7 linked regions of the Coturnix japonica genome follow. The protein of the gene in region 1 purifies or fractionates together with the protein of each later gene. This does not show direct contact. Links are inferred from orthologs where the notes say so. Each region holds a gene or a part of one and is shown in the gene's direction. Other genes may lie near its edges.

Region 1 (4,243 bases):
GGGGAGCCCGCTCCCCCTGCATAAACTGCCGTATGAATGAGGGAGGGGGGAATAAAACAAACCCGTGCTGCCCCCAGCTGCCCCGGCCTTTGTGAGCGCGGTGGGAGCAGCTGGTGCCGCAGCTGCCGCTCACAGCCCGCGGCCCCGGAACGGCCCCGCAGCCGGGGCGGGTGGGACCGTGTGTCCGGGCGGGGCGGCACCAACGGGCCGCATCTGGCGTGTAACTGCTGCTCGTACCACTCGCTAACGGGGATATCGCCGTGACCGGGGTGCGGGTTATCGCAAGGGCCGAGCGTTAATTAACAGCGCTCACCGCCGCCAAGCGGAGCGGTGCTGCCGTTCGGTGCTGTGCTGCAGGGCTGGGCCGTGGGCTCCGCAGCCACAGGAAGAACGAGCAGCAAAACACCGCTCAGCGTTCACTACATCCCCGCTGTGAGGCACCGCCCGCACCCAGCGCTAACCCGGCCGTCCCGCTGAGCCCCGCTGCGGCCGCAGCTCCAACTCCGGCCCCGCAGTACCGAGATGGGGGGGTGTTTATGTCCCTGTGGGTTGGGCTCCGTTGGAGGCACATTGAGGTTATCAGCGCCCCGCACACGGGATACAGACGGCGGGAGCCGCCCACGCCACGTCCCGCGGCTTTGACTATGGGCTGCCCTGCCCTGCACCGCCCGCACCGCCACGGACACGCAGCTCAGCCCCGCAGCCCGCACAGCGTCACGGGCAGCTCTAGCCCAGCAGTGCAGGGAGCGCCCGGCGCTCAGACCCGTCTGTGAGTGACCCCACGCGGGACCAGCTCCGCGCCGCCCTCGGCCCCTTTAAGGCCCGGCCGCGCTCCTCACCCACGCGGCGCCACGGCCGCGTCCCCGAGACGCCTCCCGATTGGCTCCTGCCTCAGCTCGGCGGTTCTGATTGGCCGCCTGTCAGCGCGTCCGCCGCCGCCGCCCTTAACCAATGGGCGGCCGGCACCGCCCCTCCCTCCGGCGACCTCGACCAATCAGACGGTTTCCCCGCACCCCCGCCTCAGCGCTCGGCGTTGGGCGCAGCCAATGGGCGGGCGCGGGGAGGTTGGCGCCGCTTTCGCGGCAAAAAGGATTTGGCGCGCAAAGGCGCGCGGGGCCGGAGCGCGGGACAGCCCGGCACAGCCCGGCACGGCCCGGCACGGCCCGGTACAACCCGGAACGGCCCGGAACGACCTGGGGAACGGCCCCGCGGATCGGCCCCGCGCCCGGCAATGGGCCGCGCCCCCGCCCCGGCCGCGGCCCCGCGCCCCGCGCCGCCCGTCACCTGAGCCATGGCTACGGCGGGCGGCGCGGCGGGGCTGGCGGCGCTGCTGGGCGGCTCCTCCCCGCACCTCCTCATCGTCTCGGCCTCCGAGGAGCCCGCGGGCGGCTGCCGCCCCGACGCCGACCTCCTGCTCTTCGCCACGCCGCAGCCCTCCCAGCCCGGCCCCGCGCCGCGCCGCCCCACGCTGGGCCGCCCGCCGGTAACCGCGGGACGGGGGAGGGAGCGGGGCTGAGCGGGGCTGAGCGGGCCGCCGGGCGGGGCCGGGACGTCGCGGTGCCCACGCGGGACCCCCCCCCCCCCCCCCGTCAGAGCCCGGCCGCGCGGGGCACCGCCGCTCCGGAAGCCGCCGCCGAGGCCGCCTTCCGCCCGGCAGCGCCGTTGCGCGGGGCTGCCCCCACAGGCCGGGGCCCGGCCCTGCCGCCGCGGTGCGTTCCGCGTCCCCGCGCTGAGGACGCCCTGTCCCGCAGGTGAAGCGGAAGCTGAACTTGGAGACGGATCACCAGTACATCGCCGACAGCCTGCCCGCCGCCCGCGGCAGGGCCCGCATCCCCGGCAGAGGTACGGCCCCGCTGTGCTGCCGGCCTGAGCCCTTCGGGATGGGCCTCGTCACCTCCCTCTTCCCCTCTGCCACCTGCCGTCCCCGTAGAGCGCTGGGCCCTGCCCGGCTGCTCGCTGTCAGGGCTCAGTCTCGGGGCCCTGCAGCACCATCCCCCGAGCTTCCCATTGCCAGCAGCTGCCGGGTGCTGCTCACCTGCCGGGTGTGGCGGTGCTGGGGCTGCCCCGCGCCCCACGGCTGAATCTTGCACCTGTCCCCAACAGGGGCAAAGTCTCCTGGGGAGAAATCCCGCTATGAAACCTCACTGAACCTCACCACCAAGCGCTTCCTGGAGCTGCTCAGCCAATCCCCCGATGGTGTGGTGGATCTCAACTGGGCGGCCGAGGTGCTGAAGGTGCAGAAGAGGCGCATCTACGACATCACCAATGTCCTGGAGGGCATCCAGCTCATCCGCAAGAAGTCCAAGAACCACATCCAGTGGATGTATGTCCATCAGGGTGGGGGGATAACACCGAAGCTGCCAGGGTTGGGTGGAGGGAGGGAGGTTGGGTTCCACCCTGAGATCGGGAGGTGATGGCAGCAGTGGGGTGTTAGTGCTGGGGGTGACAGCCCTGTGTACCCCAGGGGCAGCCAGGTGGCCGCGGGGGCTTCAAGCCGACAGCAGCTGCTGGAGAAGGAGCTGCGGGATCTGCAGGCGGCAGAACGGCAGCTGGACGAGCTCATCCAGACGTGCACGGTGCAGCTGCGGCTGCTCACCGAGGATCCCTCCAACCAGCAATATCCTTCGGTGCGGGGCCGGGATGGGGCTGGATGGGCTGGAGAGCTGTTGGGGAATGGAGCCCCCCCCTGCTCTGACACTTATGGTCACTGTGTGGGGTTTTGGGTGTGAATGTGGCCCCGTGTCTGCTCCTTGACCCGCCGCACCGCAGCCTACGTCACCTGCCAGGACCTTCGGAGCATTGTGGACCCCTCTGAGCAAATGGTGATGGTTATCAAGGCACCCCCAGAGACCCAGCTGCAAGTCTCAGACCCGGCAGAGGTGAGTGAGGGGTCTCTCCTCCCCATGGATCTTCACAGCCCTCGGTACAACTCCACCTTGGCACTCCATGTCCCTCCTGTCCCCAGGCTTTCCAGGTCTCAGTGAAAAGCACTCAGGGCCCCATCGACGTGTTCCTCTGCCCCGAGGACAGCTCAGGGGTCTGCAGCCCCGTCAAGAGCCCCTTCAAGGCACCTGCTGAGGAGCTGTCCCCTGGCTCATCGCAGCAGAGAGCCTCCCCGCTCCTGCATCCTGCTCAGGATGTCAACATGCTGCTGCCTGGTGAGCAAGGTGGGGATGGGGATGGGAATGGGATGGGAATGGGATGGGAAGGGATGGGATGGGATGGGATGGGATGGGATGGGATGGGATGGGATGGGATGGGATGGGATGGGAATGGAATGGAATGGGGGCACTGCCTGGGCTCTGTGGTGTGGGGACAGTGTTATCACTGTTGTTCCAGTTCCAGGAGCACGAGGTTACAGGGCTGAGGTCTTGGCTGTGTGTTAGGAGGAGCCTGACCTCCATGCTCATGCAGTGCCAAGTAGTTGGACTCAATGATCCTTATGAGCGAGTCCTTTTTAAATTGGGGTATTCTGTGATCCACCCAGCTGTGGGCTCTGCTCCTACCCAAGCTTGGCAGAGACAGCCCTGGATCTTTCTGCTTAGGAAAGGACACTGTCCCTCTTTGTCCCACCACTCAGCAAGTGGTCTGAGTCACGCTGCCCAGTTGGCCTGGATGTTTCTGATCACTCCTGATGCTTTGTGTGCCATCTGCATGGCCTCAGTAGCTTAGAACACAGCAGTTCTGGTGTGTGCTGTGGGGCTGACAGCCTCGCTCTGTCCCCACAGAAGCACTGCTACCAGGCACAGCACTGCCCTCCAAGTGCTCCACAGAGGATGTGAGCCTGTCACCGCTGGCCTCCATGGACACCCTTCTGGAGCAGGCCAAGGACGATTTCTCGGGCTTCCTGGCGGATGAGTTCATTGCCCTGTCACCACCACAGGCACAGGATTACCACTTCGGCCTGGAGGAGGGTGAGGGCATCAGTGAACTCTTTGACTGTGACTTTGGGGACTTCACGCACTTGGACTTCTGAGGCTCTTGTCCTGATTTCAGAAGCTATCCCACTGCCAAGGGGGGGGACGCAGGCAGGGCTGAGGACAGCCACGTGGTGCCCTGTGCCTTGGTGTGGCTCTGGTGCCTTCCTGGGGTCCCTGTGCTGCAGCAGCCCTGGGCCCCCTCCATCCGTCCCCTCTGCAATATTTTCTTCCCTCCTATCCGGCATCTCTGTGCCATGATGGGACAGAGCCCAGCTTGGTGCTTGAGCCCACATTGGGGCCTACTCCTGTCCCAAGAGGAGGAT
Region 2 (3,566 bases), on another chromosome or scaffold:
AAAGAATCTCGGATTTCTGTAGTTCAAAATGAAATTGTGCTCTTCATTCCTTCAGCTAAGGTCTACTTGTCCAGACTACAGAATAGCAGAAGAAAGCTTGTTTATTGTTATCATCACAGTAGATAGGCAGGTAGTAAATATTCAGAATTGATTCTAGAGCCTAATTTCATGTTCTTTTTAGAGAAGGAAATTATTATTGGGGTTGTAAGGAAGAAGAATCAGTTGCCCGTACTGTTTTAATACTGACCTTTTCAAAATACTAGACATAGATAACCATTCCAGAAGTAGTAAGCTTGTCTGTCATTATTGACAGAGGCAATTTTTTTCTTAAATCTAAAAAGCCCTTGAAAGTAAAATTCAGTATTACATTTGCTAGGTAAGTTAATGGATTTACATAGTACAGATACTGTGTCTGAAGACAACAGAATATGATAAAAATGCATTGGTGACTTTAAGCACTTATAAAATGTACTTGTGATCAAACCTCTAACAGTTGAAACAATGTAGGCAACATGCTTTTTGCTGTACCACTTTAACTTTTATCTTTAACTATCAATACCCCTCACTTAGCATTTTTGCTTAAAAGAGATTTGTGAATCCATTTTGCTTACCTGACAATAAAACTATTTGCCTTGATCTTTTGCGCCAACACTTGGTAATTAAACCTATGTGTGCTGAAAAGCTGAAGCACTTTCTTTTTGACTTTCTAAAACGTGTTGCCGTTTGATTTTTATTTTTTTATTTTTTTGGTGAAAGAGAAATATATTTGAGAATCTCGTGGCGTGGGGAAAAAGTAAATGAAATCTGAAACATTGACCTTTTCTGTGTTTCGTTCACAGGCTGTTGAAGAAGAAGATAAGATGACACCTGAACAGCTGGCAATAAAAAATGTTGGCAAGCAGGTGAGGTGCGATGAATTAGAGGTGGAATGATACGCTTCCTTCATTCTAAATATTAATTTCCTTACTTGTGCGTAGGTGATTTTATTTCTACATGCAAGATATTCTCAGTGCTCTGAATAGTGAATTTATTTTTGCTGAAGGTTGGGGTGTAGGGAGCAGCGTGGCTTTTGGCCTTAGGTAATCATTAGAATATCAGCAAGTCACATTCCATGTGCATTTGTATTAGATGCTGAGGAGCGCTGTTAAGATTTGGTAGTTTTTCCTTTTTATTCTCCTTTCCAAGGGGATGCATAAAGATATCCTTGTCTGTACTGTCAGAAAGGTCAAAACCATGAAGGCTTTTAAAGAACAGCCATGTTGAAAAAAAGATGAGAGTGTAGTTTATACCTTATCGTGGCTAATGAGCCAGCTCACCCTGTCCTCCTTCATAAGCACAGTCAATGCTGAGCTCCAATATGCACGTGTGCGAGTAAGATGCATAGCTTCATATTGTTATTGGAGTGAAACAGTTTAGAACCATAAATGAAACTGAAAACATCTATTCAAATCATTCTCTTTACAATGCCCGGAGATAGAGGACTTCACAGAGAAATACTTACATTTATGATTTTAACCTAAAAGCTGAGGGAAAAAGCTGCTCTGGAAAAAGAGGATAAATGAGCAAAACAAGTTGGTAAGAGATTGCATTCAAAATTCAAGAAAGGCAACAGAAACAAGAAATAGCTTTATAACTGAACAGTACATCCTTGAAGAACCAATATTTATTGTATTACTAATAGCAGAAGAATTTAAAGGATTCTGGATTGCTCTTATGTGTCAGCTTCTAGCTGCTATGTCATAACACATCTACACTATTGTTCAGTCACTCGTGTATTTCTGTAGCATTCAGAACAATAGAGTTTATGCTCACCTACACAAACGTAAGTATATATAATAAAACATGTGACAAAGGTTGTATTTTAAGAGCTTTGGTGTCATCTTAAACATGATTTGAGCTCTCATCATTTAAATCATTACACATATGAGGGAGAAAAATATCTGTTTTGAATAAGTTCTTTTTAAAGAAAAGCCATTTTTCCTGATAAAATTACTGAGTAATTTCCATGTGTTTTTGTTTCTTTGCAACTTTTATATAGAACATTTTGTAAACAGGCAGCTGCTCAGGTTTAGCTTTGCATTTTTCAGAACTTTAAACATCATGTTGTGCAGCTCTGTTTATTTTTTATGGGTATTTGTGTGCTGATTTTCTCATGGTCTATACAACTACTTGAAGACTTTACAGGACTAGGCTGCAGTTTTGCACAAGTATCTGAAAGCAAACAGCTGAGTACCAGAGCTGAGGTGAATTCCTCATGTTGTGTTTTGTCCTTAAAACTCACAGCTGTTGTGGTTGTACACCTTCAGAGTACAGAGAACCTTCAGAGGCTGTATAGGAATGCAGTTCCTAAACCAGTCCTCAATTACTCTGAGTGATGGTGTGGACTAAGCAATTTCTGAATTCCTATATGATAAGTCTAGTTAGAAAGCAACATTCTGGAGCATCACCAGCCTCTTAACTTGCAGTGGTTTTACAATGATGTAATTAAAAGTGTTCACAGAGATTTACTCATTTCTCTTACTGCATCCTTTGTGTTTCAGGACCCAAAACGTCATTTAGAAGAGCATGTGGATGTGCTGATGACTTCAAACATTGTCCAATGTTTAGCTGCTATGTTGGATACAGTTGTATTTAAATAACCCATTTCCTTTTTGTGATGCTTTCTGTGTATATTTGTTTATTGTTTCTAATACTCACAAAGAGAGACTGTTGAGGCTATATTTGGTTAAACAGAGACATCTGACTTCATTTGCAGTTTAAGTGCAGTTCTCTAACACCCTCCAGTCTCTAATTGTGCAGTTGCTTCGGTTTCCTTACATCAGGGTCTTTACAGATTCCAAAGCATTTTAAGAACACAACGTGGGCAAAAAATGTATTAAATTTTCATTTAATATTTGGGGGAAAAAATCAGTAGTACATATATATTTTGATTGTTGCAACATAATAAAAATACATTTACAAGCCTGTCTTAAGTTCTGGAAGATCTTCTTTGTGAAAGAGTGAGGGGAATTAATGATGTATGAAACATGCTGGTGAAACACATTTCTGCCCACTGTCACACTACTGAGATAGTAGTTGCTAGGACGGCAGAAGATTCTCCAATGAAACTTGGCTCCCATTGATTGCCAAATATTCTTTTTGAGATAGAAAAAAAAAGGTATTAGCACTGAATTCCAAGGCTTTACAAAAACCAAAATGCTGAAAATTATGCTAAGCACTGCCTTTCAGTAGTATTCAAACTGTAATATCCACAGAAGACAACTGACCTTAAGAAAATGCATTCAGTTCTGCTGATAACTGATTCACACAACGCTCACCAGTGGTGTCATAAATAGCAGTATTCTGAGAATAAACGCTGAAGTGGCAGAGGCTGCTCTAAGGTTATAGGAACCTTTCCTCCTGTGAAAGAGGAGGTACATGAGGTGCCCGTATGTATAAATATAAGGAAAGAGTCCCAGCTGGAATACGACATTTGAAACCCTTTCCACAGACTGGAGAGGGAAACGCTTCCCGTGGGGTGGGTGGGTTTGGTTGCTTGGCTGAAGGCAGACAAAGCCAAGTACCGG
Region 3 (3,563 bases), on another chromosome or scaffold:
TCCTTTCCTTGTGCACTTAGATCTAAGGTAAGAACTCCTGTGCAGGCAGTCCTCAAGTCCTTATGGTGCAGGGGGTTGGTAACGATACTGCTCTGAATAACCGTATAGCAGTAATTAATAGCTGAGTAGGATTGCACAGCCAGAAGTTGCTTCCTAGGTTAAACTTAGAAAAAAAATACTATCTGTTTTGACTTAGTCTGGAGAGAGTAACTAACTTAAACATTTTTTTTTTTACCTCAGTGTAAATAGTATGTACATAAAGGATTTGTTCACTAATAAATGATAGCAGTCAACAGGTAAAAAAAAAAAAAAAAAAGGAAGCATTTGGACATGCAAAGCTAAGGAGCTTATAGTACCCTAGTGAGAGTTTCTTTCAGCTCTTGTACTACATGGCCACAGAATTGTTTTGATTTTATTTAAAAAAATATATATATATATTCAAATTTCACTCTAAGGTAACTACTTTTTCTTGTTATGGCTTCTGCTGCAGAAAACCTACCTGCAGAGAATCTCTGCTTCATTTGCCCTTCAATTGCTCTAATGGCAGAAAAACAAATTGATGTTTATTATACTTCTCAGCTTGAGAAATTTGAAATCAAATTTACTTCTGTTTTACAATTAAAGAATAATTTCTAATTAATATACTCTCGTACAGCGACAGTGTGATGTTGAAGCCGGAGTGTTTCCAGTATTTTCATCGACTCATCTTTCTGCAACATCTCTGTCTTAGCCGATGCTACCAAATATCACCTGCTGCCTTAGTGTAAGTAATCCCTAATTGCCCTTGGTTTACTAATTCAGAGGATCAGTAATTCTAAACTTGTTTTATTTTAGGCTTAAGAAGTACAAATACTGTTTTGATAAACTTACTGGTACAAACTAGGAGTAAAATAATGGGGAGACTAGCGTGCCTTATGTCTCTGTTTAAAGGCATTACTTTGCCAGCCCTGTCAGTCTCAGTATCTGTCAGCATTAGGCTTTTAATTGTGTGGCAATAACTTACTTTCAGAAATGTTAACAGAATGGACAGTACTTGCTGACCACTGTCAGAATCTGTGTATAACTTTCCTTTCTCTGCACCTGCATCAGTTATTGGTTAGCACCGAAGCACAGCACAGAGTTATTTGCTTGAGGGCATTTTTTTCTGCCTTCCGTTATTACAACTATTCAGCTCTATCCTGTTTTGTGTCTCAAAAAGTGTGCCCTCAAGTAAGAAACCAAAGCCTTTAGCCTAAAAAATTGAGTAAAAGCATGTATATCTAGTTTGGATGTAGACTGCAAAAAATGCCTTCAGTATAATGATTAACTTCTCCCTGTTTTCTTTCTTTCTAGAGATCTTGGTGAAATTCCAACGTTAAAGACTCTTCAGGTATTTGGAATAGTGTCTGATAGCTCCCTGCAGGTCCTCAAGGAGACACTTCCTAAAGTGAAGATCAATTGTTCACATTTCACAACTATTGCAAGGCCAACTGTTGGCAGTAGAAGGAACCATGAAATTTGGGGTATCAAATGCAGATTGTCACTGAGAAACTGTATTGGCTAACGGTCTTGTATGGTGGATGCCGTGGATGCACTGTGTAGTGAAGGTCCTTGAGAAGCAGAAAGTCAGAGCACATCCAATCATAGTTGCATTTTTATAAAGTATCGTATCTTGGTCTTGTGCCGTAACGTAGTTCTATAAACACGTTTATATTCTTTAAAAAAAAGAAAAAGAAAAAAAAAAAAAAGCCTTTAGAAATTTGGCAATCTGTGAGCAATTATAGGAACTTAAAAGAAAAAAACAAAACCTTTTTGTTTTAGGAAAACAAGAAAAAACCTTTTTGTTTTAGGAGAGCTACTTTAAAAAAAAAAGAATTTGTGAAACAATCACTGTCATGAAACTGTTACAACCTTTATGAACTGCTGCAAGTTCTGATGCAGCGGTGGTTGTACTGCGGTGCTGTAAAGGTGCTTTCGATTAACTCTTCCAGCTCTGCAACTCCTGGAAAATTCAGTGGAGACACTATATGTCTCCTGAATGGATTCTGCTGGTCTAGAGTTTACCAAACTCAAATCAGGTACTGCTGTCAGAGCAATTAAAATTATTAACTGAGTGACATCTGTACTAAGATGTGAAGCTATCCTGTTTGGGAGAGGGACAGAGAAGTGAGTCTGAATTCACTGAATATGGAAACAGTAAGGAAGCATTGGAATGGAGGTCTACAGGAAAGCACTTAAGAGCTCAATGCTGTATGAATAAGAAGCAATAATAATTGAGTTGCTGTGAAGTTTTTCAACAGGACTCCATGTTGCTTTTCTGTGCTTAAGTGAGCTTAAATTAGGAGCATAATCTCAAAACTTCTTACATAGGGTCTCTGAGCTGTATGTAGTATATTGGAAAAAGTGCTTGCAGGAGCAAGTATCTTGGTTCTGAAACTGAGCAGCAACAGACTGGGGCTGCACTGTAAGAATTTTGAGAGGAGCTCCTTTGGGGCTATTAAGAGACATCCATTTCTCTTTCAGCTTAAGTTTCTAGTATTTAACTTCCTGTATCTTTCAACACTAACAGGAGGAGTTTACATTGTCACAAAAAAAGCTGAATAACTAACAAAAAAAGCAAAAAAAATACCCAAAAAACCCAACCAAACTAAGACCAGGGACATGTAGTGAGCCCACACCTCTGGGGGAAGGGACCTGGCTCAGGCTACTACCACCCCCAGTCCAGCTGGGGGCTGGGCATGTTCCAGGGACGAGGGTAAGCATTATCTGAAGAGTCTCTTAGCACAAAACTTGCAAGCAGTGAGCAACAGTAGGGGATATACCATTGTGGTAAATGGGCTGTTGCATAGGCATAGAGTCTTCCAAAGTCAGTCCAAAGATAAAAAGCTCAGTAATAAGTACACACAGTTCACTGTGTAGTGTGGAAAATTGCTTGTTTGCATTCATGCCTTAAGTTACTTTAAACGTTTACTTCAAGAGGAAAGGTGTATCTATTTGTAATTCTCTCTCTGTGTAATGTAACCCCATGAAACTTGTTTTGCATTTAATAAAGAGCTAAGGAATTGCTATATTGTACAGAATGGCTAGTGATTTGCCACCCATGTTTTGGTGTGACTGAAAAAGCAGGAACTTGTTCAATCAGTGCCTGACCAACTGTGATTTACATGACAGGGTATCATCATGTCATGCTTAGTACATGAAAGCAAGCACATTAAACATGCACACACACACACACACGTATATATTTAAGTTGAAATCAGGCCTGGGACAGCTTCAAGCATCTATTAAACTTTTAATTTTATTACATAATGTATAAACTTTAAAAAAAAAAAAAAAAAAGCAAAGATGACATGTTTAGTATAGCAGAACACAAGTGTGGACAGGCACTAAAAGATGACACCATGGATTTGATTTGATTCAGCAGGTAGAAGAGTTCAGTGCCAGTCCAGGCCAATTAAATCAGTGTTACACCAATACTCAGCCCTGTCACAGAACACTGTCTACAAGGTAAGTTGTCTGTACTGCTTTCCTTTGTAACAAAGGATTTTACAATTCTTTAATAAAAAAGGTAGCTGCTTACTGAT
Region 4 (3,712 bases), on another chromosome or scaffold:
TTATGTCTTTATAAAGCACTAGTTTGCTTGTAGGACTGTAGCTGTATTTAACTCTTTAGGTCTATTCTGGGGTATTTTACTTTAGAGACTACAGCTGAGAAAATAATTTGCTCAGTAGTAAAGCCCTGTCTGTCTATATTTGCATCGCTCACCTGTTTGCTTTTCTTCTCCTTGAAAAAGTATTAAGTTGAAAGAGGTCAAAAAGGTCAGAAAACCCTGTGGTTTCAAGAGAAAAAGGACTCTGCTTCTCCATGAGCATAACCAGCATCTACTATCGCTCTGCTCTTAGAAGAATTGGGAAATTTTAAAAGGGAGACCACACAAAAGCTCCTCCCCTGTTCTTGTTCTGTGTGCTTTTGCTAGCCACTTGCTACAGCGCCACATTACTTCATGCAACCTCTCTCTTTGGAGAAGAGAAAGCAGAGAGGTAATGCTCTATAACATGCTGTTTGATTAGGAAGGGGTGCATAACAGATTGTATAATGGAAACTGATAGTGAAAGTAAAGCTTTTGTTCTGATTAAACCAATTAATTATCTTCCTTTCCACTAGGAGGTGATTACACATTAGTGCTGAGTATGACACGTAGATTTTGGCTTAGTTGTTTGCTAAGAACAGAGGTGTAGACTTTCTTTGTTTCTCCATTTTGACATAAAAAGACTCCTTCATTCCCAATGTAGTTCTGTGTGCAGAGTAGAGTAAGAAATGCATTCATTCACAGGAAAAAAATAAATGAGGAAATATCACTGAAGCTTCTGTCTTACACCAGAATAAGTCACTGTGCATTGCTAAAATCTGTGGCACCTTAAAAGCCTCAATAGTGATACAAGCTGCTCTATTGCAGGTTGTTCCTAGATGTCCTCGCTGTCCGCCTGATGAGCCACTTGCTATCATGAAGCCTGACATAGTGTTCTTCGGAGAGAATTTACCTGAGCAGTTCCATCGTGCCATGAAGTACGACAAAAATGAAGTCGATCTCCTTATTGTCATTGGGTCTTCACTGAAAGTAAGACCAGTAGCATTGATTCCAAGTAAGTGACTCACATTGGAAATTTCTTCTTTCAAAAAATGGGATGAAATTAAAATTCTCAGTTAAGAGTTCCAGTTCTGAGTGTTTTTTCTACACTTAAGCCAGAGGAGAGATCTCAAAGTAATAAATCTATAAGCCAGAGAACCACTGCGCTAAAAGTTAAATGTCTTTGTTCTGAGACGAATGTATTTCTCTCCCTGTTCATAATATGCTTCTGGAATTGTGAGATTTAGAGAGTAATTGTCTTTTAAAAGATAAATGTAGTGTCAAAAAAAAAAAAAAAGAAAAGAAAAAAGAAAATGGAACAGGTACATCAGGTGTTTAAGCAGTAATTAAAGTCAATGTGCTAAACAATACATAGTAGGCAGTACATAGTGTACAGCCACTTGGGTCCTTACTTCTTAAAGGTGATAAGGAAAACTATCCGTGCTACTACAAAATAAGTCCTTCAGGAGGTCTGAGAAAATATGATTGCAGGTTAATTATTTGCCTATTAAACACACAACTTAACTTGCACTTTTAACACTCAAGCCTGAGAAGGGCCTGCACCAACCATCTGCTGCTCAGTGGGGACAGAGCCACATCCAGCACTTCTGTAGTAACACCCTCTTTTCTTTATACAAGAGGTAGAGCCTTGTGTTCAGGCTGATGGGAAAGTTAGGATCCACAAATCACTGCTCCATCCACAAACTGAATTTCATTAGTTGGTTATCTGAAGAACCAGTCAATACCAGGCTATCAGATTGTGGGGTTTTGGAGCCCCAGATGTGTTAAGCAAACCCTTACATCACAGACTGTACCTGCAGATATTCTGACCTAATTAAGAGAAAGTCAGTTAACAACAGTACCTTCTTTGTGCGCACTGAAGTGCATCAAATGAATGTACAAGATCACTGCAGTCCTTCAAAGAAATTACAGTACTGTAATAATCTTGTAATAACACGTGACCAAACATTGCCGTAGTCAACATTTTTGCGCACGGGTTTCTTAGTGGTGAAATAGAAGAACACCTTATACTGCAAGAAACGGGGAAATCTAGATAGACTACACAGGCACAGCACCTCACACTGCCGCTCAGCTTTGTTACATTCAAGATTTGCTTGTCTTCGGACAGACCTCGAAGACATCTCTGAGAAATGAAGTCTTTTTGGAAGACCTTTGGTAGAAAGTAAAACCAAAATGCCTGTCCTCAAACTGTCTTCTCTGTGTTTTAGGTTCCATCCCTCATGAAGTGCCTCAGATCTTAATTAATAGGGAACCTCTGCCTCATCTACACTTTGACGTGGAGCTTCTTGGAGACTGTGATGTTATTATTAATGAATTATGTCAAAGGTTAGGTAGTGAATATACAAAACTTTGCTACAACTCAGTAAAACTTTCAGAAATAACAGAAAAGCCTCCACGAATGCACAGAGAGCTGGAAATGCACTCAGCTGAGCTGCCGCCTACACCCTTAAACATTTCAGAAGACTCTGGATCACCAGAACAAATGACTCCACCGGATACTTCGGTGGCACCCTCAGAACACGCAGCTGAATGTAAGGTAGAAAACTGTGATCCTGCCTCTGAAACTAAAGGGATCTGCACGGAGGAAAAGCTTCAAGACACACAGGCATCCTCTGAAAACCCTGAAAATACTTCTAGTGAATTAATGAACTCTGAAACAATGAAGGAAAATGGAACCAACAATGGAGAAAGCAAAGACAAAAATGAAATAGTGAAGAAGTGCTGGGCAAACAGAGCTGCAAAAGAACAGATTAGCAAAAGGCTGGATGGTAAGTGTTAACTTACTTCATTCTCTTGCAGATTTTGACTTACGTGTTTATTCTAGACTTCCTTTAAAGCAATAAATAAGTTGCCCTTGAGGGAATCAGTGGGTTTTTTTTGTGGTTATTTCTGCTCAGAAAAGTATCTACTTTTTTTATTGTCAATGCAGAGTTTATTTCTTTCAGAGGAGCTAACAGGAAAACTCTAATTGAGAATTGATTTTATAATCAGTGATTACTGAATGGTTTTAAACTGAGACAGGGGAGGATGTTTTTCACCCAGAGGGTGGTGGTGCACTGGAACAGGTTGCCCAAGGAGGTTGTGGATGCCCCATCCCTGGAGGCATTCAAGGCCAGGCTGGATGTGGCTCTGGGCAGCCTGGTCTGGTGGCTGGAGACCCTGCACACAGCAGGGAGTTGGAACTGGATGATCTTTGTGGTCCTTTTCAACCCAGGCCATTCTGTGATTCTGTGACTACAAACTCCCTAGAAAGATCAGAGTCCAAGAGGCAGAAGCTAAGTATCAAAAATAAACACACCTGTCTTACATTTTCTAATGCGTTTCCAGAAAAACCGTATCAATCTTGGCATTTTAAACACTATGTCCCAACTCTGTTCTGTAGCAGTGAGGGACCAAAGTCACCACAAGATTCAAAAAGCAAATCACACAGCTGGAGCCAGGCACATTCCAAAGGAAACATCAGCCTTTCCAAAGAAGCCCTCCGTTGTGCAGTCTGTTAACTGATGTAACAAGTAATTGAGCTACAAAGTCAGTGAGGATGGAGAACCAAGGATTAAGTTGCAGTTTTCCTAAAGCAAAGTCTGTCTGAATTTTGTCAAGCACTCTGTGTGCTGGGTACCAATTCTATGGTACAACCAGTTGCATTCTAGCTGTGAATACAAGTACCAATAAAAAG
Region 5 (3,710 bases), on another chromosome or scaffold:
CAGAAATATGCAGCACCAAGCAATGTCCACCAGCCTCAGATACAGTTAAAAAGGAGTAAAATACCTGGTTGTATGACAAATCCTGCCGTGTTCTAAGGAAAGCTATGGCTGTAGTGGAGGAAAAAAAAGATCTACACTATGTTTAAGATGACCAGCTTACATCAACTGTACTACAGGTGGCTCACTGAGATTACGTTGCAGCTGAGTGTTTTCTTTTTCCTCCTGAGCAGACAGATTCTCCTCCGCTCTCTCCCTACCCCTTTGTGAGAATCAGCTCTCCTCGCCGAGTCCAGCTGTCTCAGAACCACCCGGTGTACATCTCGCCACACAAAAATGTGCCTGCTCCCTCTCATCGAGAGAAAATATTCTATTATTTCAGCAGCAGCCCATCCAAGGTAAGAACTAAAGGCGTTTAGTTTGGTTTTATAAATCCTTAGTTCTGCCCTTTCTGTTGGGATGTGTTAGACTAGAAAAGACTGCTCAACACTCCTTTTAGTGTACACTGTTAAAGTTGTACTCTGTCACCAGACTGTCTCCAGCTTGTCAGTCTACAGATCTAAGAAGCTGGAGAGCAGTGAGGTATCCAAGGTACTTGTGTACTTTTAAAAGCTATTCTTGATAATGGTACATATGAAAGAGCCAGAAGGTACATCAGTGACACTACATAATGGGATGTGTGGCATGAAGGCCCTAAGAGTCAAACATGAAGTAGTCATTCCCTCTTATCTACGTAGTGAGGCAAAAGGTCTCTTAGCACAAAAAGACTCACCAAGCGAACATGGAACAGACTGAATCCCATGACCTCCAGTCATCCACCATTAAGTAGAAGCCTTCTCCACGCAATGTCTTCACTCAGGATAGGAATTCTGTACCTGTGGTGTAGGATAACATGTCATAACTACAGCAGGAAGGCCTTCCAGCTCCATGTGCACCAGCAGAGCATCAAAAATCTTACACAGAAGCCTTGATAAAGACTCCAGTAGTGGGACCAGTACAATGGTCAAAAGGGTTAGTTTGTTACAGAAAGCACTGTACAGTGCACAGCTCCAAAAATAAGGCATTTGTAAGCCTGCAGTAACGGGACAAGCAAAAACATCACTTTTTTGGTTGCTACAATAATGAGATTGTTTTTTCCACCTCTCCCCAGAGGCTAAAGGAAATTAACAGCATGATTAGAACAGGAGAAACTCCAACAAAGAAGAGAGGCATTCTCTTAGAAGATGACAGTGAAGCGCCAGCGAAGCGGATCTGTCAGGAAAACCACACTGCTCTGTTACGCCGCCTGCAAGATGTAGCCAACGACCGAGGGTCCCACTGAGGGCTGGGGCTCAGCACAGGTAGGACCTCTGTGCTGCTGTGCCAGGCTGCCAGCTCAGAGCATCCCACGGACTCAGCAGGACCGCACAGGCATCAGGCTCCTCCTGCCAGGCCATGCTGACCAGTCCCTGCTGGGCTGTACAGAGTCTCTGCCTGCCAGAGCTTCCCCAGTGCCAGGGGATGGGGAGGATGCGTTCTGAACCCTGCAGTTCCACTCTGTCTGTTGTAAAGCTGATCAGAAGGCAAGTGATCTACCTGCTGGCTTTGGCTTCAGAAGGCAGTTCAAAGCTTTGTATTGCTTGGAGAATGTATCCCTCATACAGCTTTCTGCCTTGTAACAGGTATTTAAATCCATCTGCTCAACCAGTGTACTTACAGTGTTTTCATCAATGCTTGACCATTTTCAGCTTTGGAATAGGAAGTTGTATATGTATCAAACATGGGAGCGTTGTACCAAGGCACTCATAGTCAAATGTGTCCTCTGGGGGAAAAAAAAAAAGGAAAAAATAAAACATTAAGTACTGCCATAAAAAGAATGATTTATAAGCAATAGTCTGGCAACATCCAGCCTTTTCTGCTTGGAAAGGGAAGATAGGAATAAGCTTTTTGAGCGCTGAAGGAAGCTGTCTGAATGGATTCTTTTTGTATTCAGGATGCTTTGTGTGCCCCCAAATCCATCACGTTGTTTTGCTTTAACATTTGGGCACCTTGTTGTATAGAAGTAGCTAACTCCATTCACGCATCATTTTTAGCTGTGCAATGTTCTAAGGTGAACTCGTGTTCAAAAGGTGGCACTTTGGATAGGGCTGTGAAGCATCGTTTTTAAGGCAGATTAGTGTTGCTGTATATTTGCAATGGCACTTTCTAAATGTGAATATCTTTTTAAAGGCTGACTTCAGCCTTTTTTCTTCACGGAAACAATCCAATTCTTGTATTTATTTTCAACGTGACATCCCATAGCTCCCCTTCTTCAGCAAATGGCATTAAGAATTCATTTTAACGTTATGTGCATGCAGTAACAAATGCAGGAGGCCAGGGACGTGGGCTTTGGTCAAGGAATTTTATACACCTCTGTTGTTTCTTCAGCTGGTTCTGCTTGAGAGTCAGAACCAGGAACCTCCCTTCCTCAGTAGAAGGAAGGTGGCCTCAGTCTCCTCAAGGTGCACACTGTGCTTCTGAGTGGTTATAAAGGACAAAGGAAGAGGTTCTGGGTTTTTTTTTTTAATGGACAGAATCAGGCTGCCTGGGAGAAATCTCTCCCCTGCTAATGGTATAAGAAAGCAGTGCGTATATTAATTAGACATACTAATTGTTTAAATTTTAATCAATTCTACAATACCAGCCCTGTTGGTATGCTTAGACCTTTCCTAATAACTACTGCCCTGTGCCAGTTGACTCATCTTTAATGACAACTGGGGACAATGCTGTTGTACTTGTAAAATTTAGCACACACGGATGCCAGAAGGTTTTGTAAGGAAGCAGAACTTAAAAGCTCCACGTTCTCATTCATTCCTGCTCCTTTGAATAATGGAAAGATTTGAGACTTAATTCCACAGTAAAATCAATTAAGGTAAAATAAAAGCATCTTCAGTTCTTACCTGTGTAAGAAGGGCTGAAGTGGAGCAGCGGTGTAGATGTTTCTGTAAAAATATTTATGAACTTGTCAGACAATTCTGTTATTCTGTACCATTTCCATTAATTTGTATGAAACACTGCAAGTGTATTTTTCAATAAAGAACTCATAATAAGGCTTGTGTGGAAAAAAAGCTTCATAAGAGCAAAAGCTACACCCAGTGTGCATCTGTCAAAGGCTCGGGCTGATCTGATGGCACAAACACCAAAATAGCACATAGCTGGGTTCTGCGAGGCTCATGATGTACTTAATCACAAGAACCTCAGCCAGACATTGACATTCAGGGTGTCAGGTAACGGGGCAGCGCTTCATTAACTACTCACTCTAAAAAAAATTACTATTCTTGCCTCTGTTAAGTCATAGTCTTAAATAGTGAAGCTTCTCTTCCTATTTCTGAAATATTCTTTACAGAAATCAGAATTACAAGAATTACTTTTACAAGTGTTTTTAAAATGCTGCTTAAGTCAGGTACTGATTGAAGCTCAAACATTTGCAGTCCATTTTTCATTAACTGACTCCCAGCAGTAGCAGGACAGGTAACAGCCAACTGCTGGAGGAAAGGGTTTGTTTCTTCAGTGCAGTCTGGGTGCTGTCTGCCTACCTTGCTCCTGGAACTGCTCCTTTTTGTGCATGAATTGCTTACAGGTGATCCGTCAATCTTCCCTTCTCTTCCCTTTTTTAATCGTAAAAAAGAAAAAAAAGCTCATCCATTTATTTGTTTTGAACTAGAAATAGATTTGCCATTCTTTAAATATATACA
Region 6 (3,712 bases), on another chromosome or scaffold:
CCTCTGTACACACTGTATCTCTTAATGCAGACTTGCTCTCAGAAGCAGTGACGAGGTGATGCAAGTTGCAGTTACAGGGGTAGAAGTGCCTAATTGAGACCTGGCTTTAACGAGTCTAAAATGTACAAATCAAAGGTCTTGTTCTAACAAGGGGTGAATTTAGTATCTATGTATGTGAAGGCACTCTTACATCATTCCAAGGCCAAGAAGTGAGAAATACAGTCGATACGGCCTTGAGAGGTACGACTGAAAAGAAAAAGAAAAAAGCCACTGGCGTGTACTTTATATAACACTATTAGGAAAGCAACGTGCTTTCCTTCAAACTGCTGGTTTTAAGCTGCAGTCTTTTTGGAAATAATTCTGTACTTTGTGGTTTGATACTATTTGAAAGAACCTGAAGAACATTCCTCTCTCTGCTGCCAGAGGGTAATGGAAGCAGGCCAGAAGAAAGAGCTCATTAACACTCTTTCTGTGGAATGCATTTGTTTCTTTACAATTGAAGAAATTGCATCAAACAATTTAAGGGCATTTGAAGAACATTTTTTTCCTGTATTCCTGAGGTTAGTTATTACAGATCCTGAGGGAAACGATGAGAGAACGTTCTGCTGGTGACCAGAGGCCACTCTCAGCAGTCCCACGGGTTCACCAGCTGTGCTGGGAGAGGCCTCCTCTCTCTGGACATGAGTGCACGTGTTCTGCACATGTAAGACTCACAGGAGTGATACATCTGTGAAGCACCATTCATTTGTGTGCAAATAGGGGTTTTGCAGGTTTACAGTTCCTGAAGTAAAACCTCCCTGGCTTTAAGTTTTCTTGTTGTTGAACAATTTACTTCATTTCCCCCTTGTGCTGTCCCTCTAAACTTCTGTTCCTCAGCTATGTGTAGATTTTATCCCAGTTTTTATGAATTACTTTAAGCACAGCACTGAGTTCACTACTTCTTCAGAATAATGGTTTTTGAAATGATGCTAGCATTGTGTAATCACCACCACCTGTTTGCAGCAAAGCAAAACACTGCCCTCTTTTCTGCAGGTAAAGTAGGAAGGGTGGAGTGCTCACTGTTGGGTTTTTTTTCTCCTAATATAGCAAAGATGTTTCTGCTTAGATAAAACTTAAAACAAAACAAAACTGCCTTGCTTTCTTTTTAACTGAGCTCATGAATTAGTAATGAGCATAGTTGGAACCATTTTCTCTTGATGCCCTTCAGCTGATTACTATGGTAGGGTGTGAAGGGCTGCTGGCTGCACGCTCGTGCTCTTCTCTGAGTGCTGGGAACTGACTGTTGTGTTTTGTTGCCCTCTCTGCCCACTGCAGTGCCGCGCGTCGTGGCCGTTTCTCCGCAGATGCGTCTGGTCGAAGACAATCCCTCCTCTCTGTCTCTGGTGGAGATCTACAAGCAGCGCTGCGCCAAGAAGGGCATTGAGCATGACAATCCTATTTCTCGATACTATGACAGGCTGGCAACGGTGCAAGCACGGGGGACTCAAGCTAGCCACCAGGTATTAGAACATAGAACGAGTTCTCATGAGGGTTATTTCTTGAGGACTTTGCTACAGCGCGTTCAGCTCCCTCCCATTAGGTAGGGGCTGGAGGTATTTCACTAAGGAGGTGGTTTGCATTCGTTTTGTTTTTACTATAAGTGTTGTTGGGAGTTCTCATACCTCATTGGCGTTTTGGAGTATCTTTGAAAGCCTCCAAAAAGCTGTATTTGTATTTGGGAACTGCAGCTGGAAGCAGGTGAAGGATTCATTACTTTTAGGTCCTTTTTGTATAATGCTTTGTAAATAATGAATTGATGACATGGGAAAAGCATTCCTATTTCATGTTCCTAATTTGTGTAAGCGGAGAATGCTATGTGGTGCCATTTCCTCATCTTTTGGTGTTCATCCTAAAACTGACCCTGGGTTCATCCCACCCAGGTCAGTTAGGAACAGAGGCTAATCTCACCCTAATATGTGACAATACTTGGGAAGCAGCAACTTCTGCCCCTCTAACCTCCACCAAACATCTAATTCTGATAAATACGGTTCCTTTACAGTTTTTAATCCCAAGGTTAATGCAAATTCTTATATCAAATGCTAGTCCCGCATCAAATACAGCTATTAGAAAATACACGGTATATCACAGACATCATCTGGAGAATGTTTTCTGTTAGAAAAGAAAACGAAGAGTTATGTAACATCTGCTTCTATTTTGAGGACTTTTTTCTTCAGGTTATGAAACTCTTCAACAGTCGTGGAACTGAAGTCAGTCTGACTGTCACTCTGGTGCAGTAGAACATTCTAGCTCCATTCCATTTTCTATTTAATTAGGCTAGGATGTGCTATAGTAATGAAATATTTTGGTAAACTGTATGTTTACATTAAGGGAAAAATTATTACTTATTGTTCACATATTTATATGAGTACATCTCTCAGTTTTTCTCTCCACTTTTAACGTTACCTTTTCCAGTAAACTATGCTGTGTGCAAAGAAACCACCAGGTTTTAGGTTTTGGTCTTTGTAGATCCCAAGTGCAATTTCACATCTTGTCATTATGCTTTTTTGTTTGTCAAATGCCTTCCAAAAATTCTGCCTAATTGCTGCTGTAACTTTTTTGTACTTCTCTTTTTGCCATCTGTCTCCTCGTGCTGCCTACAGGCTACCATCACCTGATAATGAGAACCAACCAAGGCTATTACTAGTCTTCTTAGTTGTTGCAGACCAGATATGGAAAGACTCCATGTCACTGTTGTTGGTCAGCATTTTGCTCAGTAATGTGTTAGTCTGAGCAGCAACCTTTCTGACTTTATTTTATGTAAGGTTTCTATCTCAGACCCTTTGAAATTCAGGAAAATTAACTAGGTAGGCTCCATAACGATTGTCACTTAATTGCTGAGTGATGTTTACATCCTTCAATGCAAAAAGGAGATCTTTCACTGCAAGGATGTTCCATGGAAAATGTGTATTTTCCTTCCAGGGCTGCTGACCTTCAGTAGTGTTCAGCGTCCTGGTGCCTGAGGTTGGAAATAAGTGTTACTATTAACACATACAAATATTCAGACTTAAGCAGAGGGTTTTATTTTATTGCTGACAAATGCATAATCCACCTTGCACTGAAGCCTAAAGAGAGTGGAGTGTGTTCCATTAGTTTGCCTTAAGGAGGTGCTGCACTGTGATTGAATGTCTCTTTAGTTTGCTTCTGATTTTCTTGAAAGCTTTGAAGCTACTTCAATCAGTGCATAACTTGGATTTTCTCATGTCAGACTGACTGTAGATCTTCAGCTTATTTGGTTTTATTAAAATCGGAGTCTTGTAAGACGGAGGTTATTTGGCAGCTTTGCAGGGGCTGGACTTACAAAGCGTCGTGTATCCTGGTAAGGAAATCAGGAAATGCTGTTGGATTAAGAGTGTTGGAGTTCGGGATGTTTTCCCCCAGTGGTGTGCAGCAGTTCAGTGAAGTCTGGTAGTTGCTTTGGGCATAATTGTTGCTAAAAATTGCACTAAAAATGATCTCTTTCAAATAACATTTTTCATGTTTAGGTTCTCAGAGATATACTTAAAGAAGTGCAGAGTAACATGGTGCCACGCAGTATGCTTAAGGAGTGGGCTTTACATACATTCCCCAATGCCACGGATTACTGGACCTTCCGAAAGATGTTCACTATTCAGTTAGCCCTGATTGGCTTTGCAGAATTTATCTTTCATTTAAACAGACTCAACCCTGAAATGCT
Region 7 (4,388 bases), on another chromosome or scaffold:
CCCGGCGGCAGCCCAGCACCGCTCCAGCCCTGCGAACAGCAGCAGCCGCAGCACCCGCAGAGATGCTTTGCCGCCTGCACTTCATGCCGCCCACCTCCGGGTCTCTGTTCCCGTGGCTGGGACCCGTCCGCACCCTCTGGCCGCACCCAGGGACCCTCTTCGCTGAGCTGGAGAGGGAGATACGGATGGAGATGGAGAGAGCTCGGCAGTTCATGAGCAGCTTCGAGCAGCTCCTGAGCAGCGGGAGCAGCTCCAACCGCGTCAGCATCGAGCGGGCACCGAGCAGCAACGCGGCTCTGACCCAGGGCTCCGGGGAGGGATTCTCCGTCTGCCAGGACGTGAAGGACTTCGCCCCCGAGCAGCTGTCGGTGAAGGTGGTGGGCAGGAAGGTGGTGCTGGTGGGGCAGAAGGAGACGCAGAACACGGACGACAAGGGCTCCTTCTCCTACAAGTACGAGGTGCTGAAGCGCGAGTGGGACGTGCCCGAGGAGGTGGACGCCGAGGCGCTGACCTGCTCCCTGTCCAGCGAGGGGCAGCTGCGTATCGAGGCCCCCCGGCTGGCCCTGCCGCCACCCAACGAGAGGAACGTGCCCATCCAGCTGCCGGCAGCAGCGGCTCAGCCCGCGGCCAACGCCGAGGATGGAGCAGAGAGAGCCAAGGCGTGATGGAGCAGCGCGGGGCCGGGCTGAGCCCGGTGCGGGGGGGGATCTGTGGCCAAAGCGTGAAGGTTTATTTTTGATATGTAATAAACTTCCTTGACTTTTACATACACGGCTCGTGTCTTTGTTCATTTGGCGGGTCGGTCACCCCGGGAGCTGCACTGCGCCCTAAGGGCGCATCCCCGGCAGCTCCTCACCCCGCCCCGGTGGAGGAGGACGGACAGGGAGCGCTGCCACTCGTGCACAACAACACGGACACGGGGAGCGCCCCGGGACAGCGCCGGACACTTCGGGAAGGCGCAGGGACGTTCTCCGCGCTGCCGGGCGGGGACAGCAGCCGCCCCCCTCCCCACCCCCCATTACTTCCCCCCGCCCCGTCCCGTCCCTGCTCGCACGTTCCAGTCGCTGCGCGGCGCCCCGCGAAGGACGTTCGGCCAAACCCGCCCCCCCGGTGCTGCGGGCGGAGCCGCCCCGTGTCGGGACATTCGGGCTCCGGCCGCTCCTTGTTTCCCGGCTGTGGGTGACGCCGCGCTCCGTGTTTGGCGGCGCGGCGGATCCGTTCCCACGGTCCCGGTACCGGACCCCGGGCCGGCGACCCCCGTTTGCTCCGCGCTGAGCGTCGGCTCCGCGTTACCGGCGCAGCCCCGGGATGGGCGCTCCGAGCGGCGGCTCCATGGTCATCCCGCGGCGCTTCCTTTGTGCCCGTCCGCCATCCCGCCCCTCCGTCGGTGCGTTGCCCGGTCCCCATCCCGGTATCCCGGTATCCCGGTTCCCATCCCACCCCGCCGCCCGCAGCAGCTCCCGGCGTGCCCGGCGCGCAGGCGCAGTGAGCTCGGAGCGCACGCCGAGCCCGGCATGGCGGAGCCGGAGGCCGCGCAGCCCGGGAGGCCGCCACCGGCACCGGGAACCGCGGCGCCGCCGAACGGCGGGATGGGGAGCGGGGGGGCGGCTCCGGGAGGGGCGGGATCCAGCGACCCGGCGCGGCCCGGGCTCAGCCAACAGCAACGGGCGAGTCAGCGCAAGGCGCAGGTGCGGGGCTTCCCCCGCGGCAAGAAGCTGGAGAAGCTGGGGGTGTTCTCGGCCTGCAAGGTGGGCGCGGGGCAACCGGCTGCGCGGGGCGGGGGAGCAGCACGATGAGATTGGAGGGGTCGGAGGCGCCGAGGGCCGGGATGTGCCGGGATGTGCCGGGCTGTGTGATGCTGTGTGATGCTGTGCGGGGCTGTACCGGGCTGTGCGGGGCTGTACGGGGCTGTACCGGGCTGTACGGGGCTGTGCGGGGCTGTACGGGGCTGTGCGGGGCTGTGCGGAGCTGTGCGGAGCTGTGCGGGGCTGTACGGAGCTGTGCGGGGCTGTGCGATGGTTTCTCCCGTCCCTCCTCGCAGGCGAACGATGCCTGCAAGTGCAACGGCTGGAAGAACCCCAACCCCCCCACCGCCCCCCGCATGGACCTGCAGCAGCCGGTGACCAACCTGAGCGAGCCGTGCCGCAGCTGCGGCCACGCGTTGGGTAACCGCACACAGCCCCGGGGCTGCACGGCGCTGGGACCCCCAACCGTGGGGCGCTGCGCCCACCCCCATCTCACCACGTGCTGTCTCTGCCGCAGCCGACCATGTGTCCCACCTGGAGAACGTGTCGGAGGAGGAGATCAACCGGCTGCTGGGCATGGTGGTGGACGTGGAGAACCTCTTCATGTCGGTGCACAAGGAGGAGGACACGGACACCAAGCAGGTCTATTTCTACCTGTTCAAGGTGCGTCCATCTGTCCTGTTTGCCCTCTGCCCCACCTGCGGGCAGCTTCACTCCGTGCAGCCCCATTGCGGAGCTGCTGTGTCTGATCTCCTGGGAAGGGAGCGGGCATTGAGGTGCTGACGTGTCCCGTGGGGTCTTTGCAGCTCCTCAGGAAATGCATCCTGCAGATGAGCCAGCCGGTGGTCGAGGGGTCCCTGGGGAGCCCCCCCTTTGAGAAACCCAACATCGAGCAGGTGAGGCGGCTGTGGGCTGTGCTGGAGACTTGGGCTGTGGGCAGACAGGGCTGAAAACCCTGAACTGAGCAGACACAGCAGCAATTTGGCTTCATGGTGACCCCACGTGCTGTGCTGCAAACTCATGGAGCTTTCAGCTTTGTCACTGTGTGGAAAAAGAGGGAGTGTGTGTGTGTGTGTGTGTGTGTGTGTGTATGTGCTGGTGGCAGCAGTGGCCCTTCTGCTCCTGCCACCTCTCCATTCCTCCTGCTTGGATCTTGGAGGTACCTGCTGCCAGCTGGGCTCCGTGGCGCAGTGACCCCGGCCCTGGCACCCTCCAACCCACTCCTCTCCCCCAGGGGGTCCTGAACTTCGTGCAGTACAAGTTCAGCCACCTCCCACCCAAGGAGCGGCAGACGATGTACGAGCTCTCCAAGATGTTCCTGCTCTGCCTCAACTACTGGAAGCTGGAGACGCCGTCACAGTTCCGACAGCGCTCGCAGAATGACGACGTGGCCACCTACAAAGTCAACTACACCAGGTGAGGGGGGGCTGCCTCTGCATGGGGGTCTCCCAGCAGTGTTGCTGCAGGGGGGATCCCAGCACTGTCCCCCGCAGGTGGCTGTGCTACTGCCACGTGCCGCAGAGCTGCGACAGCCTGCCCCGCTACGAGACCACGCACGTCTTTGGGCGCAGCCTCCTCAAGACCATCTTCACCGTCACCCGCCGGCAGCTGCTGGAGAAGTTCCGTGTGGAGAAGGACAAGCTGGTGCCGGAGAAGCGCACACTGATCCTCACCCACTTCCCCAAGTAGGTGCCAGGCGCGGGGCTGCCGTCTGCGCGGCCGTTTCCCCTGTGCTCCCCATGGAGCTGTGTGCACCCAGCTCGGTGTGCTGCTTGCTGCCAGGTTCCTGTCCATGCTGGAGGAGGAGATCTACGGGGAGAACTCGCCCATATGGGAGGCAGATTTCACTGTGCCGGCTGCGGAGGGCGCCCAGCTGGTGTCACGTCCAGGTACCGTGGGGTGTTGGCTGGGCCGGTGCTGTCACGGCTGCATTGTGGATGGGGATTCCTCAGACTTACGGCTGCCTGCTCTCCTGCAGCCACCGTCAGTGCCGTCACTGTGCCCAGCGCTCCGCTCTTCAGCAAGAAGCTCAGCAGCAGCAGCTTGGCCACGAGCATGGACACTGGCACGCCAGAGCCTCTGCCAGGTAGGGCAGTGCAGGGAATGGGAACGGCTCCGGCCCAGCAATGGGGGCTCTGCCCGACGAGCTGCTGCTGCCCCAGGGGAGAAACGGAAGCTGCCTGAGAGCCTGACACTGGAGGATGCCAAGAGGATCCGCGTGATGGGCGACATCCCCATGGAGCTGGTGAACGAGGTGATGCTGACCATCACCGACCCCGCTGCCATGCTGGGCCCTGAGGTATGGGGGAGGGGGGGGCACATTGGAACAGCATCGCAATGGGGCGCAGCTCGTGGGGTGCTGGCACCTGGAGGGCTCTGAGGTCCTGGGGCCGGGGGGGCTCAGCTGCCTCCTATGCAGACCAGCCTGTTGTCGGCCAACGCGGCGCGGGATGAGACCGCCCGGCTGGAGGAGCGCCGCGGCATCATCGAGTTCCACGTCATTGGCAACTCGCTCTCGCAGAAGCCAAACAAGAAGATCATGATGTGGCTGGTTGGTTTGCAGAATGTGTTCTCCCACCAGCTGCCCCGCATGCCCAAGGAGTACATCACCCGCCTCGTCTTCGACCCGTGGGTGCTGGGGGG

Evidence for each region.
Region 2: the proteins of E2F1 (region 1) and PSMD14 purify together in Homo sapiens (affinity purification with western blotting; 3 studies listed by BioGRID). This does not show direct contact. The link is inferred for Coturnix japonica from reciprocal best matches to the Homo sapiens genes E2F1 and PSMD14.
Region 3: the proteins of E2F1 (region 1) and SKP2 purify together in Homo sapiens (affinity purification with western blotting; 6 studies listed by BioGRID). This does not show direct contact. The link is inferred for Coturnix japonica from reciprocal best matches to the Homo sapiens genes E2F1 and SKP2.
Region 4: the proteins of E2F1 (region 1) and SIRT1 purify together in Homo sapiens (affinity purification with western blotting; 3 studies listed by BioGRID and IntAct, with this or other methods). This does not show direct contact. The link is inferred for Coturnix japonica from reciprocal best matches to the Homo sapiens genes E2F1 and SIRT1.
Region 5: the proteins of E2F1 (region 1) and RBL2 purify together in Homo sapiens (affinity purification with western blotting; 3 studies listed by BioGRID and IntAct, with this or other methods). This does not show direct contact. The link is inferred for Coturnix japonica from reciprocal best matches to the Homo sapiens genes E2F1 and RBL2.
Region 6: the proteins of E2F1 (region 1) and TRRAP purify together in Homo sapiens (affinity purification with western blotting; 3 studies listed by BioGRID and IntAct, with this or other methods). This does not show direct contact. The link is inferred for Coturnix japonica from reciprocal best matches to the Homo sapiens genes E2F1 and TRRAP.
Region 7: the proteins of E2F1 (region 1) and KAT2A purify together in Homo sapiens (affinity purification with western blotting; 4 studies listed by BioGRID and IntAct, with this or other methods). This does not show direct contact. The link is inferred for Coturnix japonica from reciprocal best matches to the Homo sapiens genes E2F1 and KAT2A.

The regions. Positions count from the first base shown.
Region 1 is NC_029535.1:1,933,406-1,937,648, forward strand, and holds the start of E2F1 (transcription factor E2F1), read left to right. Parts: upstream 1-1,276; 5' UTR 1,277-1,291; coding exon 1,292-1,483; intron 1,484-1,751; coding exon 1,752-1,842; intron 1,843-2,103; coding exon 2,104-2,323; intron 2,324-2,464; coding exon 2,465-2,617; intron 2,618-2,764; coding exon 2,765-2,879; intron 2,880-2,965; coding exon 2,966-3,158; intron 3,159-3,728; coding exon 3,729-3,976; 3' UTR 3,977-4,243. UniProt on the Homo sapiens protein: Transcription activator that binds DNA cooperatively with DP proteins through the E2 recognition site, 5'-TTTC[CG]CGC-3' found in the promoter region of a number of genes whose products are involved in cell cycle regulation or in DNA replication.
Region 2 is NC_029522.1:25,310,475-25,314,040, forward strand, and holds the end of PSMD14 (26S proteasome non-ATPase regulatory subunit 14), read left to right. Parts: intron 1-839; coding exon 840-902; intron 903-2,540; coding exon 2,541-2,639; 3' UTR 2,640-2,967; downstream 2,968-3,566.
Region 3 is NC_029547.1:10,073,962-10,077,524, forward strand, and holds the end of SKP2 (S-phase kinase-associated protein 2), read left to right. Parts: coding exon 1-27; intron 28-655; coding exon 656-763; intron 764-1,332; coding exon 1,333-1,543; 3' UTR 1,544-3,054; downstream 3,055-3,563. UniProt on the Homo sapiens protein: Substrate recognition component of a SCF (SKP1-CUL1-F-box protein) E3 ubiquitin-protein ligase complex which mediates the ubiquitination and subsequent proteasomal degradation of target proteins involved in cell cycle progression, signal transduction and transcription.
Region 4 is NC_029521.1:8,463,879-8,467,590, forward strand, and holds part of SIRT1 (NAD-dependent protein deacetylase sirtuin-1), read left to right. Parts: intron 1-843; coding exon 844-1,030; intron 1,031-2,243; coding exon 2,244-2,804; intron 2,805-3,712. UniProt on the Homo sapiens protein: NAD-dependent protein deacetylase that links transcriptional regulation directly to intracellular energetics and participates in the coordination of several separated cellular functions such as cell cycle, response to DNA damage, metabolism, apoptosis and autophagy.
Region 5 is NC_029526.1:4,008,707-4,012,416, reverse strand, and holds the end of RBL2 (retinoblastoma-like protein 2), read left to right. Parts: intron 1-230; coding exon 231-395; intron 396-769; exon of another isoform or gene 770-872; intron 873-1,147; coding exon 1,148-1,318; 3' UTR 1,319-3,067; downstream 3,068-3,710. UniProt on the Homo sapiens protein: Key regulator of entry into cell division. Directly involved in heterochromatin formation by maintaining overall chromatin structure and, in particular, that of constitutive heterochromatin by stabilizing histone methylation.
Region 6 is NC_029529.1:1,461,841-1,465,552, forward strand, and holds part of TRRAP (transformation/transcription domain-associated protein), read left to right. Parts: intron 1-1,314; coding exon 1,315-1,499; intron 1,500-3,521; coding exon 3,522-3,712. UniProt on the Homo sapiens protein: Adapter protein, which is found in various multiprotein chromatin complexes with histone acetyltransferase activity (HAT), which gives a specific tag for epigenetic transcription activation.
Region 7 is NC_029542.1:4,445,304-4,449,691, reverse strand, and holds the start of KAT2A (histone acetyltransferase KAT2A), read left to right. Parts: upstream 1-1,487; 5' UTR 1,488-1,514; coding exon 1,515-1,748; intron 1,749-2,041; coding exon 2,042-2,165; intron 2,166-2,262; coding exon 2,263-2,408; intron 2,409-2,551; coding exon 2,552-2,641; intron 2,642-2,979; coding exon 2,980-3,161; intron 3,162-3,238; coding exon 3,239-3,430; intron 3,431-3,527; coding exon 3,528-3,634; intron 3,635-3,723; coding exon 3,724-3,831; intron 3,832-3,907; coding exon 3,908-4,044; intron 4,045-4,149; coding exon 4,150-4,373; intron 4,374-4,388. Other genes in the region: heat shock protein 30C-like, read left to right, coding at 63-665. UniProt on the Homo sapiens protein: Protein lysine acyltransferase that can act as a acetyltransferase, glutaryltransferase, succinyltransferase or malonyltransferase, depending on the context.